Oryzias latipes: one gene and its partners. The protein of the gene in region 1 purifies or fractionates together with the protein of each later gene. This does not show direct contact. Links are inferred from orthologs where the notes say so. Each region holds a gene or a part of one and is shown in the gene's direction. Other genes may lie near its edges. The genes, in order: ubxn6, nploc4 and aspscr1.

Region 1 (4,231 bases):
TGCAATTAAAATCCCAAACCATTTTTCTAAGGACATTAAACAACCTTCTTCTTTAAAAAAAGTCTAAAAACTATTATTTTTATTCACATGTTCAGCAACTGAAGGACTCTGATCTTCTCTCTATTCTTGTTTTAAAATAACTTTTGACAATATATTGTAAAAAAAACTTTGATTGTGATTTTTTCTAGTGTGACTGTAGTTTGTGTTTCTGGGCTTTGGTTCTGTCTCTTTTGCGGAGCACTTTAAATTGCCTTTTGCATGGATTGTGCAACAGTGCAGCAGAATTCATAGCTGCTACAACATCAAACATAATTTAAAAAAGGAAAGATGAGACAATCTGATGTTAAAAATGCACATGTTTTATAATCCAATCAGTGAGGTGGTTTCAAGAGTGAGAAGCATAAACACCAAAACAGGTGAACTTCACATTTCTGGTCCAGCTACATCTATCAGAAAGAAACTTGGGGATGTACCTGTTCATAATGACTAAAATGAGGCTTCCTGTGTAAAGGAAAACCTTTTCAAGAGACAAAGGCCAATTCTACTGACATGAAACGTGCTTCTTTTTTAGCTGAGCGTGAAATCCAACAAACCTCCTCACTATTGAACAACTATAACCCTCGTTAGGGTTAAGTTTGAATAGAGAAATTGGCTGGAAGCAATTGGCAGCTCCTTCTGAACAACCTGTGCCTTAAAGAATGTGAAAATGAAATTACTTGGAGGACTTGTTTCACGATGAGAAAGATTAAAATACCAGTGAATATTAGTCACACATGCTGCAGATCCAGAGAGTTTCAAAAGTAAAAATGCACATGGGATCACCCCCAGCTAGGAAATGACTTTTACTTTCCAAGAAAAATAGAAAAAAATGCTGGAAAACATTAAAAAACAAATTAAGAGTTAGATTATATCCTCCTGAGAACCAGATCATTATCTATGTCCTCTGTAGTCTCCATTTTGTCTCTCCAAAAAGTCAAATTTCCCCGTCATCCCACCTAAACACAGAAGACATCAATGGAAAGGCCATGGTGTCCTGTTTTAAGCACGTCAGGACTTGGCCAAGTACTTTCAATGAATCAAATAACATAATCAAAAAAAATCCCCTATTGAGACTATAAACCAATAGGTTGGTTTAATGAAAGTTATTATGGGTATGGAATGAGTGTCAGACAAGGGTCATTCAAAGTTTGTTAAAAGAAATTTTTTTTGAATAAATACATCTTCCTTGTAGGATGCTTATCTGAAAAAATAAATAGTTGAATAAACAAACATTCTTGCAAAAAAATGTATATTTAAACCTTTACATTTCACCTTTATAGTTCCCCGAAAAGTTACTTTAGAATATGTGAAATAAACGTTTGCACATGAAGTTCCAATTACAGCCACACGAAGGCGACACTTGCGTTTGCTGGGCGGAAGTGGTTTCCTCTTCTGTTATGTTTTGGTTCTGTTAGACGTGCACCTTAGCTAAGTCAGTGGTTGTCGTTTTTTCGTTTTTTTCCCCCCACGACAGCTAAACAAAAATGAAGAAGTTTTTTGAAGACTTAAAAAAGGACGTGAAGTTTAAATCAGCTGGACCCGGAAAGAAGCTAACCGAGGACTCAAGGTAAACTGGGCGCTTAGAAAAACGTCACTAGGCTAATTAAAAGTAATCTAACTATCTTAACAGGGATCATTGTAAAACAGTGCAAGCATGGTTTCTGTCTGATCCCCTCCCATCGACAGTCGATCGATTTGAACACCTCACAGATCGATAAGCATTGTACTGTAGCCGACTAAATCCATCGGCTGATTATTTCAAGAGAATTCCGGCTTTTGTGACACCCCTCCCCTAATTTGGTAAAATTACATTACGTGTGCAAACTATCTAAAAAAATAAAAGAGCGGAGCTCCGGATCATCTGCCGGAAGCTGATAACATTTACTAAATACCGGAACCTTCCTGTGGTTGTGATCCTTACGTGTTTCTCTCATCACTAAACCGTTCAGCTCCAACTCCAAGCCCGCCCGGAGCGACTGCAACTCCCGGCAAAACCGCCGTCCTCCCAGCGAAGGAGCGCAGATGGCCGGAGCCGCCGCCCTGGCCAGGATCGAGCACCAGCAGCGCCCCAAGGTGCACACCTCCCAGGACGCGATCAGGATCCAGGGTGAGAGACGGGGGGCTGCACGAGCCCACCCGAAGATGGCTGTCTTCTGGGGGTTGACATGGCATGCAGACTTGGATTACATCGATGTTGTTATCCTGTCGACCAAAAAATGGATATTAAGGAGGATCCTTTTGTAGACCAAACTGAGGGGGTGTGAACTGACCTGATACGGTGTTGAAGGTGATGATGATCTAAATCATATAAGTTTAATCAGCTTCTGGTGACTCGTTTAATCACTAAAGTAGTGACAGATTGGTTACATATGACAATAGAAATGTAAAATAATATAAATTCATTTTTTTAAAGATGAGGTAGTGTTTTTTGTCAGTCGATAAATGAAAATGGATCACAAAACCAGGGGTCTGCAACCTGAGGCTACGTGTGGCTGTTTTACCCTTCTACTGTGTTTCTCTGGTTAATAAGAATAAACAGTACCTGTAAAGTAAAAAGCAAGTTTCTCCATCAATCCTTTGTAGTTTACCAAATTCGTACCAAAACACGGACGGATTTTTACGTTTAAAATCAATATAATGCCAGTATCAGAATTCATACTTAAGATGTATCAGATTATAACGCAGATCGTCTGTTTTTGAACTCAGGGATTTTAAATGCATCTCATGGTTTAAAAAATACAGAAGAGTCACTTAATCAGCTCTAATTTAGTTTGTTAGATTGATGAATTTCTGGCTGAGATGCAACACAAATGGTAAAATAAAGTAATGACACTACATTCGCTGCACTGAGTGGATCCTTTGTGGCATGGGGTGTTTTTTATTTTTGAAGGGAAGTCATGGGTCTATGAATCAAGTCATAAACTATTCAGATTTTGGGGGAAAAAAGGCTATTTTATGTTTATCTTTATGTTTTATCCATGCCAAAAACAAAAGTTGATTCATATTTATCATAGTCGTAACAGAAACAAAAATACAAATCTGTGCTTTTTTTCCTCTAAAGGGAGAAATAAGACTTTTGTGGCTCCTTCCCAAATGGAATTGAAGGTTGCGGACTAAACGGTCTAAACGGACCAAATGTTTTTCACCAAGGGCAGCAGAGAGAGAGGTGGTGACCTCTGACCTTGTGTGGTTTCGATGCTGTGTAGTTTCCAGCCCCTTCAACTGTTTCCAGTCACACCCAAATCTCCGGAGAGCTTTCTGTCTGTGAAAGAGCAGTATTCCTGTGAGTTCATTTGTTTATGTTTACAGTCAAAAAAGAGCTGGAAGCGGAGGCAGCGGCAGTGGCTGAAAAGGAAAAAGCAGCAACGGCAGAGGTACGAGTGCAATGAAGCAGAGGGTTTGCAGTTTACTGATGTTTATGGTGAACAGTGACATCGAACAGCAGATAAGTAACAATAAAACCGTCTGTTTTTTATTTTTTCTTTTATTCAGGGATCCAAAGTGCCGGTGAAAGATCCAGCGTGCTTCTCAGTGTCAGGTGTTTACTTTACCTGTCCGCTCACCGGAGCGACACTGTCCAAGAGTGAGAGGGAAGTGCACATCAAAGAGGCGATCCTGATGGTGGGTCTCCTGCACTTTTAGCCCCGCCCCCCCGAGATGCGTTGATTTGAAAACAGACAAAAATAATCCCGCTTCTGTTGTTGATAAAATACGGACTGTTTTTACACCAACAGCGCTTTGAGGAAGATCCAGTCGAAGCTTCAGTCATGATGGTGCACACCTTTAACAAAGATAAAGAGAAAGTGAAGGCAGCCGTGGAAATCATCAGCAAGTAAGACGTTCATTGCTGATTCTATTAATTAGACTAATCAAACTCCACCTTCATGAGGATTTAACTTCCTATTAGAATACAGTTCAAACATTAATTTCTACTGTTTGGTCTCTGACTCCAAAATACCTCTTTGTTTTTACAGATATGTTGAAAATATTTGCAAAAATCCAACAGAGGAAAAGTACAGAAAAGTCAGAGTCAGCAACAAGGTTTTCCAGGTGACGATCAAACTGTTTCCTTTGACTCTTGGCTCTGCCCACACAAAGTAATGAGAATTATTTGTCTTTCAGGAGAAAGTGCGTTGTGTGGAGGGCAGTCGAGAGTTTCTGCAGGCTCTGGGCTTCATCAGCATTATGCTCC
Region 2 (4,201 bases), on another chromosome or scaffold:
AGTCAGAGTGATAACCCCATGAACCTTTTATCTGCTTTGCTCTTTATGTTTTTGAGCTCAATGAATGATGATTTGAATCGTACTAAACAAGCAACTAGTCCCACAAAGTAATGGTAGTTGAACCTTTTACCTAACCAGGTTTTACTTTCAGCAGCAAAAACCCTTTTTATCATCAAGTTAAAGAAATCAACCTATAAAAAAGGCCTTTGCAAATTTTAAAGCAAGTATATGAAGGGTTAATGTAACAGGAAGCTTTTGAGCTTCAAGTGTTTTCTTTCTCTTAATGTATTGACAATATGTTCCATATATGGAAGTAATATATTTTTCAGAATATTAAAATATTTTTTGATTTTATTTTTTTGAAATGGTTTATTTCAAGCAATCAAATAATAATAATAATACACAACAACAATACAATCATCAGTTATACATTCATACAATGACGAATCAAACTTAGGATAATTAGACATATTAATAAATATTGCTGTAAAGGGAGTGGAAGGAAGCGAACTTATATAATCCCACCCCTGTTCTACCGTAACCATTTTATTACATGATTTATCATTATCCCATAATCGTAACACCCAGACTTATATGATGTTACACATGTAACAAATACATATAGCTATGACTCAAAGACTTTTTTTCTTTTTTGGATTATGTAAACAACCATGTAGTATTACAGTCAACAACAATTAAGTTATATAAATTACATAGCCATATGGGGTTCATCCATTTCCTTATAATAAAAAATGTCGGTTGAAAAATCTTATTTAGGGTTTCTACTTAATGACCAAAAACATCTATTTCAACAAAGACACAAGCAATTATGAGAAAAGGTTTATTTACAAACTATGAGATTTTACATATTTAAAATCCAGAAATAGGTTTTCCTCCATATATTGCTATATATTTTAAATTATATGTGTAAGTTGCTGATGTATTTAAATGTATTTCTTAATATATATGATTAGGGGTAAAACGATTATACAATTAATAAATAAATCTATTTCTGTTCCTATGATCCAACCTGATCGATCTATCTGAGGCAGAATCGAATCGAATCGACCCGATACCGACAAAGAAACGTTTCAAAATTAGATCAATGGATTATAATCCATCTTGAAAAACACCATTTGGATTGAGACATTTAAGATTTATTTTTTTATTTTTCAAGAATAGTACTTTTCTAATAATTGTGAAAGCTAACAGAAACAAAAACTTTTTTTAAACGGAAGTAGGGGGAACCTTTCTTTTCCGATTGGTGGTTTCCACCGGGCTCGTTCCGTTGTTGAACTGGTGTCAAACTGAGTTCTGTGATGGAGCTTTGCTCTTACTCAGCCTGTACCTGATCGTTAGTTTCTTTGCATCTGGTCTGAAACACAGCGACACTGACGGAGATCCTCCACGAAGAACCATGGCGGACAGCATAGTAAGCGTGTCGGCGGGCCGGGTGACTCTGCGCGGGGAGCTAGCAGGCTAACGGTCGCTAGCCTCTTAGCTGAAGTCGGGAGTGATGAGGCAGCAGAATTAGCTCAGCAGTTAGCTAACATTAGCAAGAGTGACTGCGGCCTTTTGAGCTCTTCCACTCAGATTAGCTTTCAAGGTTGCTTCCAAGCTTCGGTTAAAAATAGCCGGAGATGGAAAACGTTTTGTTTAAATATTTAATTTGTGAGTTTTATTTCTAATATATCCCAGTTTTTTCAATAGATGATGTAGCCACAGTCACTCAGTGCTGACAATGATGTGTCTCAAAAACAATAAGTGAGTGACAGCAGCAGAAGTTTGTTTTTCTCTTTACTAAACGGGTTTCCAAATGAACCTTTAATTTGGGTTGGGGCCGGTAATTCTGCCGCTGACAGAACCAGAGAAGGTTCCTGGTTTTTATGTACTGTGGAAACAAATTCTCCAGAAACATCATTCAGTTGATTTGATGTCTGGGTATATTTGTTTCTTTACTGATATTTTAAAGCAACAGTTGACCAAAAAAGTACATCAATTCTAAAAAATAAAATAAAAACAGAAGAATAATATAGTTTTGCAAATGATGAAACCAAGCTCAAATTTTTCAACATGAAGAGGTCTAAGTCCATCCTGATGTTTTGAAGATCTGTGAACTACGCTGAAGTTGGTTTCTGATTGGCCAGGCCACTAAAGGAACTTTCCACTGCATTTTTCACACTAACACCACCTAGGACCTGCTGGTCCTGTTCCAAAACCACATGACCTGGACTAACCTGGATTCACTTGTGATTTAGATAGTAAAGAATACATAAAACACAGTTGCTGATTTGTGAAACCTTCGTCTGATTTGTGAAAATGTGAAATAGGGTCATTTTATCTCATTTTACACGCCGAGTCCACCTCAGACCAGGTCCTGTTCGAAAACCCGCTGGACCCGTTTCAAATGTAAACATTTGTTGTCTGGAACTTCTGTTGCCTCCCGTCTTGTGAATTTGTGTTGCCTGTCTACAATCCAGCTCACCCCACAACAATGGGCAGACTGATCAACTACAAATCAGAAACTGTATTTAATGTATTCTTTACTATCTAAATGAATTGAATCCAGGTTGGAGCAGTCCAGGTCCAGCGGTTTTTGAACTGGACCCGGTCCTAGGTGGTCTTGAGACTGTCTTTGAGACTCTAAATGTTTCCACGTGGTTCTCTGAACTCCCAAAGGGACCGGCTGACCCCAGGGCCCTCATTAGGCTCCAAACCACTTAACGGCTTTAAATTGCTAAAAAACTGGCTGCATTTGAAGTCCAACAAACACTGGATTTTACTGGGAGACGGTTGGAGCAGGGCAGCTGAGTGTTTTATGTTTCAGCGGACCGCTCTCTGCCTCCACGTCCACTCAGGTGCTGTGTCTCTGACTGACAGGCCGGGCTGCTGTGGATGATTTAAGGACGTGTTGTTGTTTGTTTTCAGATCATTAGGGTTCAATCCCCTGATGGAATGAGAAAAATTCCTTCTACCAAGAGGGAGACGGCAGCTGCTTTTCTAAAAAAGGTAATGTCCCAAAGTCTGGAGTCGTTCCCTTGATTTTGTTCTGGAATAATGAATCTTTGATTGTTGAAATGATTTTTATCAAGCGTCTGTCTTTAGCAGAGCCTGTGAAACTGTCCTCAACAAACAGAGTGAATTATTCCAGAGACGTGAGCAGAGAGCGACTCTGCACTCAGGGATGCTCAGGTTTCTAGGCTCTTTCCTGAAACCTGCATCCTGAAAATCAATGTCAGAAAAGACATCAGGTTTCTGAACATCAGACTGTTAAACACTAATAAAATCACCTAGCAAATTAACTTGTTTAAAAAAAGTCGATTATCCTAAATGAAACGGCTTTACCCATGATCCAGTTTTCAAGGGCGGTAATTTAAGAAGCCAAACATCTATCCTCATTTTTTAGGTTTTATAGTCCTGTTCCCCGTCTTTAGTTGGTGCTGTTGTTGTTTAGGGCGTGAAGTCGTGCAGGTTCCAGGGGGGACACGTCTGACACCTCCAGACTTTTGAGTGGATGTAATGCAAACTTAGGGTTGTTTGTCTTAAATTTACACTCGAGCCCTGAAGCTGCTTGCTTTAGATTAGTGACTTTCTAAAGGTTTAAATAGGTCTGAACTTCAACAGAGCATTTCTGCATCTCTTCATTAAAGATGTATGAATGTATGTGACGGTGCCGGGGGGGGGAGTTTAACAATCTTTAAACAGGAAATCCTAATTGAAGCAGACTGTCTGCAGAGGCAAACCATGAGTCTGTGGTTGTGTCCACATTCCTGCCCTAACCCCTACCTACTAAAAAACAGTGACGTGCGGTGAGGTTAATGGCTGGTGAGGCACTGACGTCATCAGTCAGATTTACAAACATATGAACCATACTGAGTAACTTATTCACCATTTGATTGACAACAGTTAACGTGTTTTGTTTAAAATATCATTTCAACATGTTTTTTTTCATATACAAACTGCAGCATAGAAAAAAGCACAAACATTATTATCATCTTACCTTTACTTGTAAATAAAGTCCATACGCCGCTCCTTCTGAAGAAAATGACTTGCCGCTTGCTATCACTTATTCTATTGTTTTTTAGCGTCATAATCTCAGGGCTCACCGGCGCCCCCTAACATGAGGCACGAGAACTGCTGGCCTCACCCAGCGGCTTTTTCGCCGGCGTTTAGCGCTCAGCACAAGAAACACGTCCCTCAC
Region 3 (3,649 bases), on another chromosome or scaffold:
CTCTTCAGGCCTCTGGAGACAGGTTTGAGTTCTGTCGTACCAGGAATTAGATGCAGCCCTCCGACAACCTGGAGGAAAACCCCTCACATACGTGAATGAACTTTGTTCAAGCATAAACTTTGTTTTTTTTTTGTGTCCTTTGTGCAGTTGGTGCTGTCAGACATTTTGTCAGGACTCACCTGGATGACGCTCAGCTCAGTTTTTACCTGTGTAAGTTTGTCTGAGTATCCACAACATCTGCTTTTCCAAAGAACCGTTTGAGCTTAAACATCTGCTTTTTGGATGGAACCAGGATCTTTTACATTCTTATTGAGTGTAATATTGACTGAACTCAACAAACAGTAAATTAAACTGGTAATAATGGAGCATCGGATCATCTGCATAAGGCCTGTTTCATGGAGGGACAAACGCTGAAACTAAGCAAAGACCAAAATATCAAAGAATTCCTCCTCAGCTCCTCCTGTGTTCAACTGAATAGAAAACCTTTCTTTATGATAGACCAATGAAAGATGGAAGTTACATGTTAGATTTAAAGATCCAGGAACCAGACCTGCTCTGCTCCAGAGACTGAACACTTAGAGTGCTGACTGATGGTACAGTTATCTACATGCATCATTTATGGAAGGTCCGATCCAGATTTGGTTCTGGTCCAGGTCTGGTGGTGTAGTGAGAAGCTGCAGGAGTTTCTTCACACATGAGAATCAGAGGCTTTCTTTTTTTCTGCACTCATTTTGGACAATAGCGCCCCCAAATGAGCAGCTGTTGGAACAGCAGTATTTTTTAAAGTGGTTTGATCCACTTCAAGCTTTATTTCTGAGAGCGCCGTGAGTGAAAGCAAACCATACCTGAAAGATTTACAGTTTGGACAGTGTACATAACTGCTAAAGGACAGATCATCATTGAAGGATAAGCCTCTGCATGGGAAGGACCGCCAGACCATAACTGAGTCCCAACAATGACTAGAATGGGCTGCCCCACAGGACAACTCAGAAGCACTCATCCTGGCAACACAGGACCAAACCCTGAGCACTGAAGAGATAGAGGCTCAGATTAGGGCAGCACGATATGAGAAAAACTTGCGATATTAGTGATTAATATTGCGATGACGATGTAACTTGCGGTATATGAACATATAGCAAAACAACCAAAAACATAATTTCCATTTCACTGCAACAGTTTAAAAATTGCATTCCAAATGACCCACATCTACATAGGAGTCGAACATCTAACATGATAGAACTCCATCCGATTGGTCGATGATGTCGAGGAGTCCATTCGATTGGTCAAATACAAAAAGGGATTTGTTTGTTTCGTGAAATACTTCAAGCATCCATAAGATTGTTTTAGCATATTTAAGGTAACCATTTATTGCGATTTTTGCCGTCTTTTGCAATATGCATATTGCACAGCTTGATATTGCGATAACAATAAATTTACAATATATTGTGCAGGCTGTGCAATGAGGCCTCTGAAAAAATCCAGTACATACAGTGGCGGGCGAGGGTGAAAGAGATGCCATTCACCCTGAAACAAGTCTGCTAGGCTTTTGAAGCTGCACTTTCTGAATCCATTCAAACTCACAGGAATCACAGTTTGGACAAACAGAAACCTGTCAGCTGTTCTCACCTGTCCAGAGTGGAAACAGGTGAGTTCATGGATGACTGCTTCCCTGCTTCTAACTCCTGCTCCCCCTCTCTGTTTTAGTCGTGGCTCCTCCAAAAACGATTCTGGACGACCCGTCAGTCACACTCTTCCAGGTCAGATCTTCTCCCTTATTTTGTGACATTTCTCTCTTCACTAAGCGCTGCATCAAGTGCGTTGGCTGACCTCTCATTTCTTCAGAGCTGCTTCACTTTACCCCCAGCACCTCCACCCCCTCTCACTTTGGGGTACAGTAGTTACCCCAGGCCTCACTTGGGGTATGTGCAAGATCTTCATGCACACACATTGGGCTGAGATGAGTTTCCAGGACAACTGATATTCACAGTTTTGTAAATGTTCTATATAAATGTGTACTAGCCCAACTGAACCCAAGGGGTATTTCTTTGTAGGCCAAGTCTCAAATGTGATTGAAATTCTTAATAAAAGGCCTTAAATATAACATTTTTAACCTGGCATAAGTAAGAGAACCCCCCCCCCCCCCCCCCCCCCACCTGCCCTGAAGATGACCCACTGTTTTTTCATGTTGTGTGAGATTTCATTTTCTAAGTGTGACTAAGAACAAATCTGGATGAAGAAAGACACATCTGTTCCTTCCTCTATTTTCTAAATGAAGTTTGGAAAGTATAATTTGGAGATTTCTCTGAAGCTGAGGGTCTCCGTTTCCCTAAAGGCTTTTGGTCTCCATCATTGTGGTGATGTTTCTTTTAGTAGAAACTGATAAGGGTTATCCCCCCCCTCCCCGTCTGCAGGCTGGTCTGTTTCCTGGAGCGCTGCTGTACTTCGGCTCTGACGTCAAAACAGGTTTTTGCCTTTTTACTTCCTTTTTGGTTGCTTTAAACCAAAAGAGCCTTCAGCCTCTGAGCTCGGACGTTTTGTAAAATGACACAACTGTACACATGTTTCTTTTTTTTTTTTCTTTCCTCTGCAGACTTTCACATTCGGAGGGAGCTGCTGAAAACGTCTGTTTTAGCCCTGCAGGCAGACCAGACCCTGACCAGGTACAAGCACTACTGTATGCACAGATGAAGGCCCACATGCATGTCTGCGTGTGTGCATGTCAGACCTTCCTTCACATGTCCAAAAGCATGCACGGCCAGATGCTGAACTGGAAACACACTGTGCGTGTGTGTGAGTGTGCGTGTGTAGGTGTGACACCATTTGTTGTCTCTTCTGAATTAAAAAACCCTCAAAGCATTTTTTTTCTATTTTTTTTTCCTAATTTCTTGGTTTAACTTTGGCTTCTCTTAACAAATAAAGTGATATTTGTTAAAGCGACACCCACTCCTCCACATTCACATCTCTGCCTTCTTCCTGCAGCTTCATCAGCAGCTCCTCGGCTGGACCTGATGAGCCGGTTCTACCCCCAGAACCTGCAACGTCTCCACAGAAACCAGAACCGACTTCACACAACCAGGCTGATAAACCTGCCAGAACCGACCCGGGAAAGGTGCCCAAGTGGCTCAAACTTCCAGGTCAGGAAAAGGCCACAACTGAACAAGTAAACCTCGGTTGTTGTCACGGAAACACATTCAAACATCCTTTACTGTCTGTTTCTGAGCGCATGCACGGCTGTGAGAGCAGCGTGACGTGTCAGCGCCTCGCTTTAGGCCTTCTATTCAGGAAACAGCAGAAGTTACAAAAATTACCATTTGTTTTGCTCCAAACAAGTTTTTCTTTTCTATAAAAACTGTTGATGGAGATGAGTGTTTTTGTCTGCAGGGAAGAAGTGAAGACTGCGTGTGAGGATGAAGACTTGCTGCTCCTTGTCTGAAGGCTTTGTGACCACAGTGGACCCCCCCCCCCCCCCCCCTCACAGCACTCGCCCCCCCCTCATGAATGATTCCTGGCTGCTGTGAACGCTCAGAAAATAAAATACAATAAAGGTTTTGGTTTTAAAATGGGTTTGTTGTCAGTTCAGCCTCTGGCGTGCTTGTGTGTAGGAGAAAGGAGGGCCTCACGAACACATACATGAACTCCTGCGGGATTC

What was found.
Region 2: the proteins of ubxn6 (region 1) and nploc4 purify together in Homo sapiens (affinity purification with western blotting; 3 studies listed by BioGRID and IntAct, with this or other methods). This does not show direct contact. The link is inferred for Oryzias latipes from reciprocal best matches to the Homo sapiens genes UBXN6 and NPLOC4.
Region 3: the proteins of ubxn6 (region 1) and aspscr1 purify together in Homo sapiens (affinity purification with mass spectrometry; 4 studies listed by BioGRID and IntAct, counting the BioPlex papers as one, with this or other methods). This does not show direct contact. The link is inferred for Oryzias latipes from reciprocal best matches to the Homo sapiens genes UBXN6 and ASPSCR1.

The regions. Positions count from the first base shown.
Region 1 is NC_019862.2:26,833,137-26,837,367, forward strand, and holds the start of ubxn6 (UBX domain-containing protein 6), read left to right. Parts: upstream 1-1,418; 5' UTR 1,419-1,523; coding exon 1,524-1,606; intron 1,607-1,988; coding exon 1,989-2,146; intron 2,147-3,348; coding exon 3,349-3,413; intron 3,414-3,531; coding exon 3,532-3,660; intron 3,661-3,773; coding exon 3,774-3,871; intron 3,872-4,013; coding exon 4,014-4,089; intron 4,090-4,161; coding exon 4,162-4,231. UniProt on the Homo sapiens protein: May negatively regulate the ATPase activity of VCP, an ATP-driven segregase that associates with different cofactors to control a wide variety of cellular processes.
Region 2 is NC_019877.2:22,105,682-22,109,882, reverse strand, and holds the start of nploc4 (nuclear protein localization protein 4 homolog), read left to right. Parts: upstream 1-1,263; 5' UTR 1,264-1,417; coding exon 1,418-1,432; intron 1,433-2,928; coding exon 2,929-3,009; intron 3,010-4,201. UniProt on the Homo sapiens protein: The ternary complex containing UFD1, VCP and NPLOC4 binds ubiquitinated proteins and is necessary for the export of misfolded proteins from the ER to the cytoplasm, where they are degraded by the proteasome.
Region 3 is NC_019859.2:28,952,560-28,956,208, reverse strand, and holds the end of aspscr1 (tether containing UBX domain for GLUT4), read left to right. Parts: coding exon 1-22; intron 23-147; coding exon 148-210; intron 211-1,704; coding exon 1,705-1,757; intron 1,758-2,411; coding exon 2,412-2,463; intron 2,464-2,590; coding exon 2,591-2,660; intron 2,661-2,979; coding exon 2,980-3,134; intron 3,135-3,381; coding exon 3,382-3,392; 3' UTR 3,393-3,563; downstream 3,564-3,649. UniProt on the Homo sapiens protein: Tethering protein that sequesters GLUT4-containing vesicles in the cytoplasm in the absence of insulin. Modulates the amount of GLUT4 that is available at the cell surface. Enhances VCP methylation catalyzed by VCPKMT.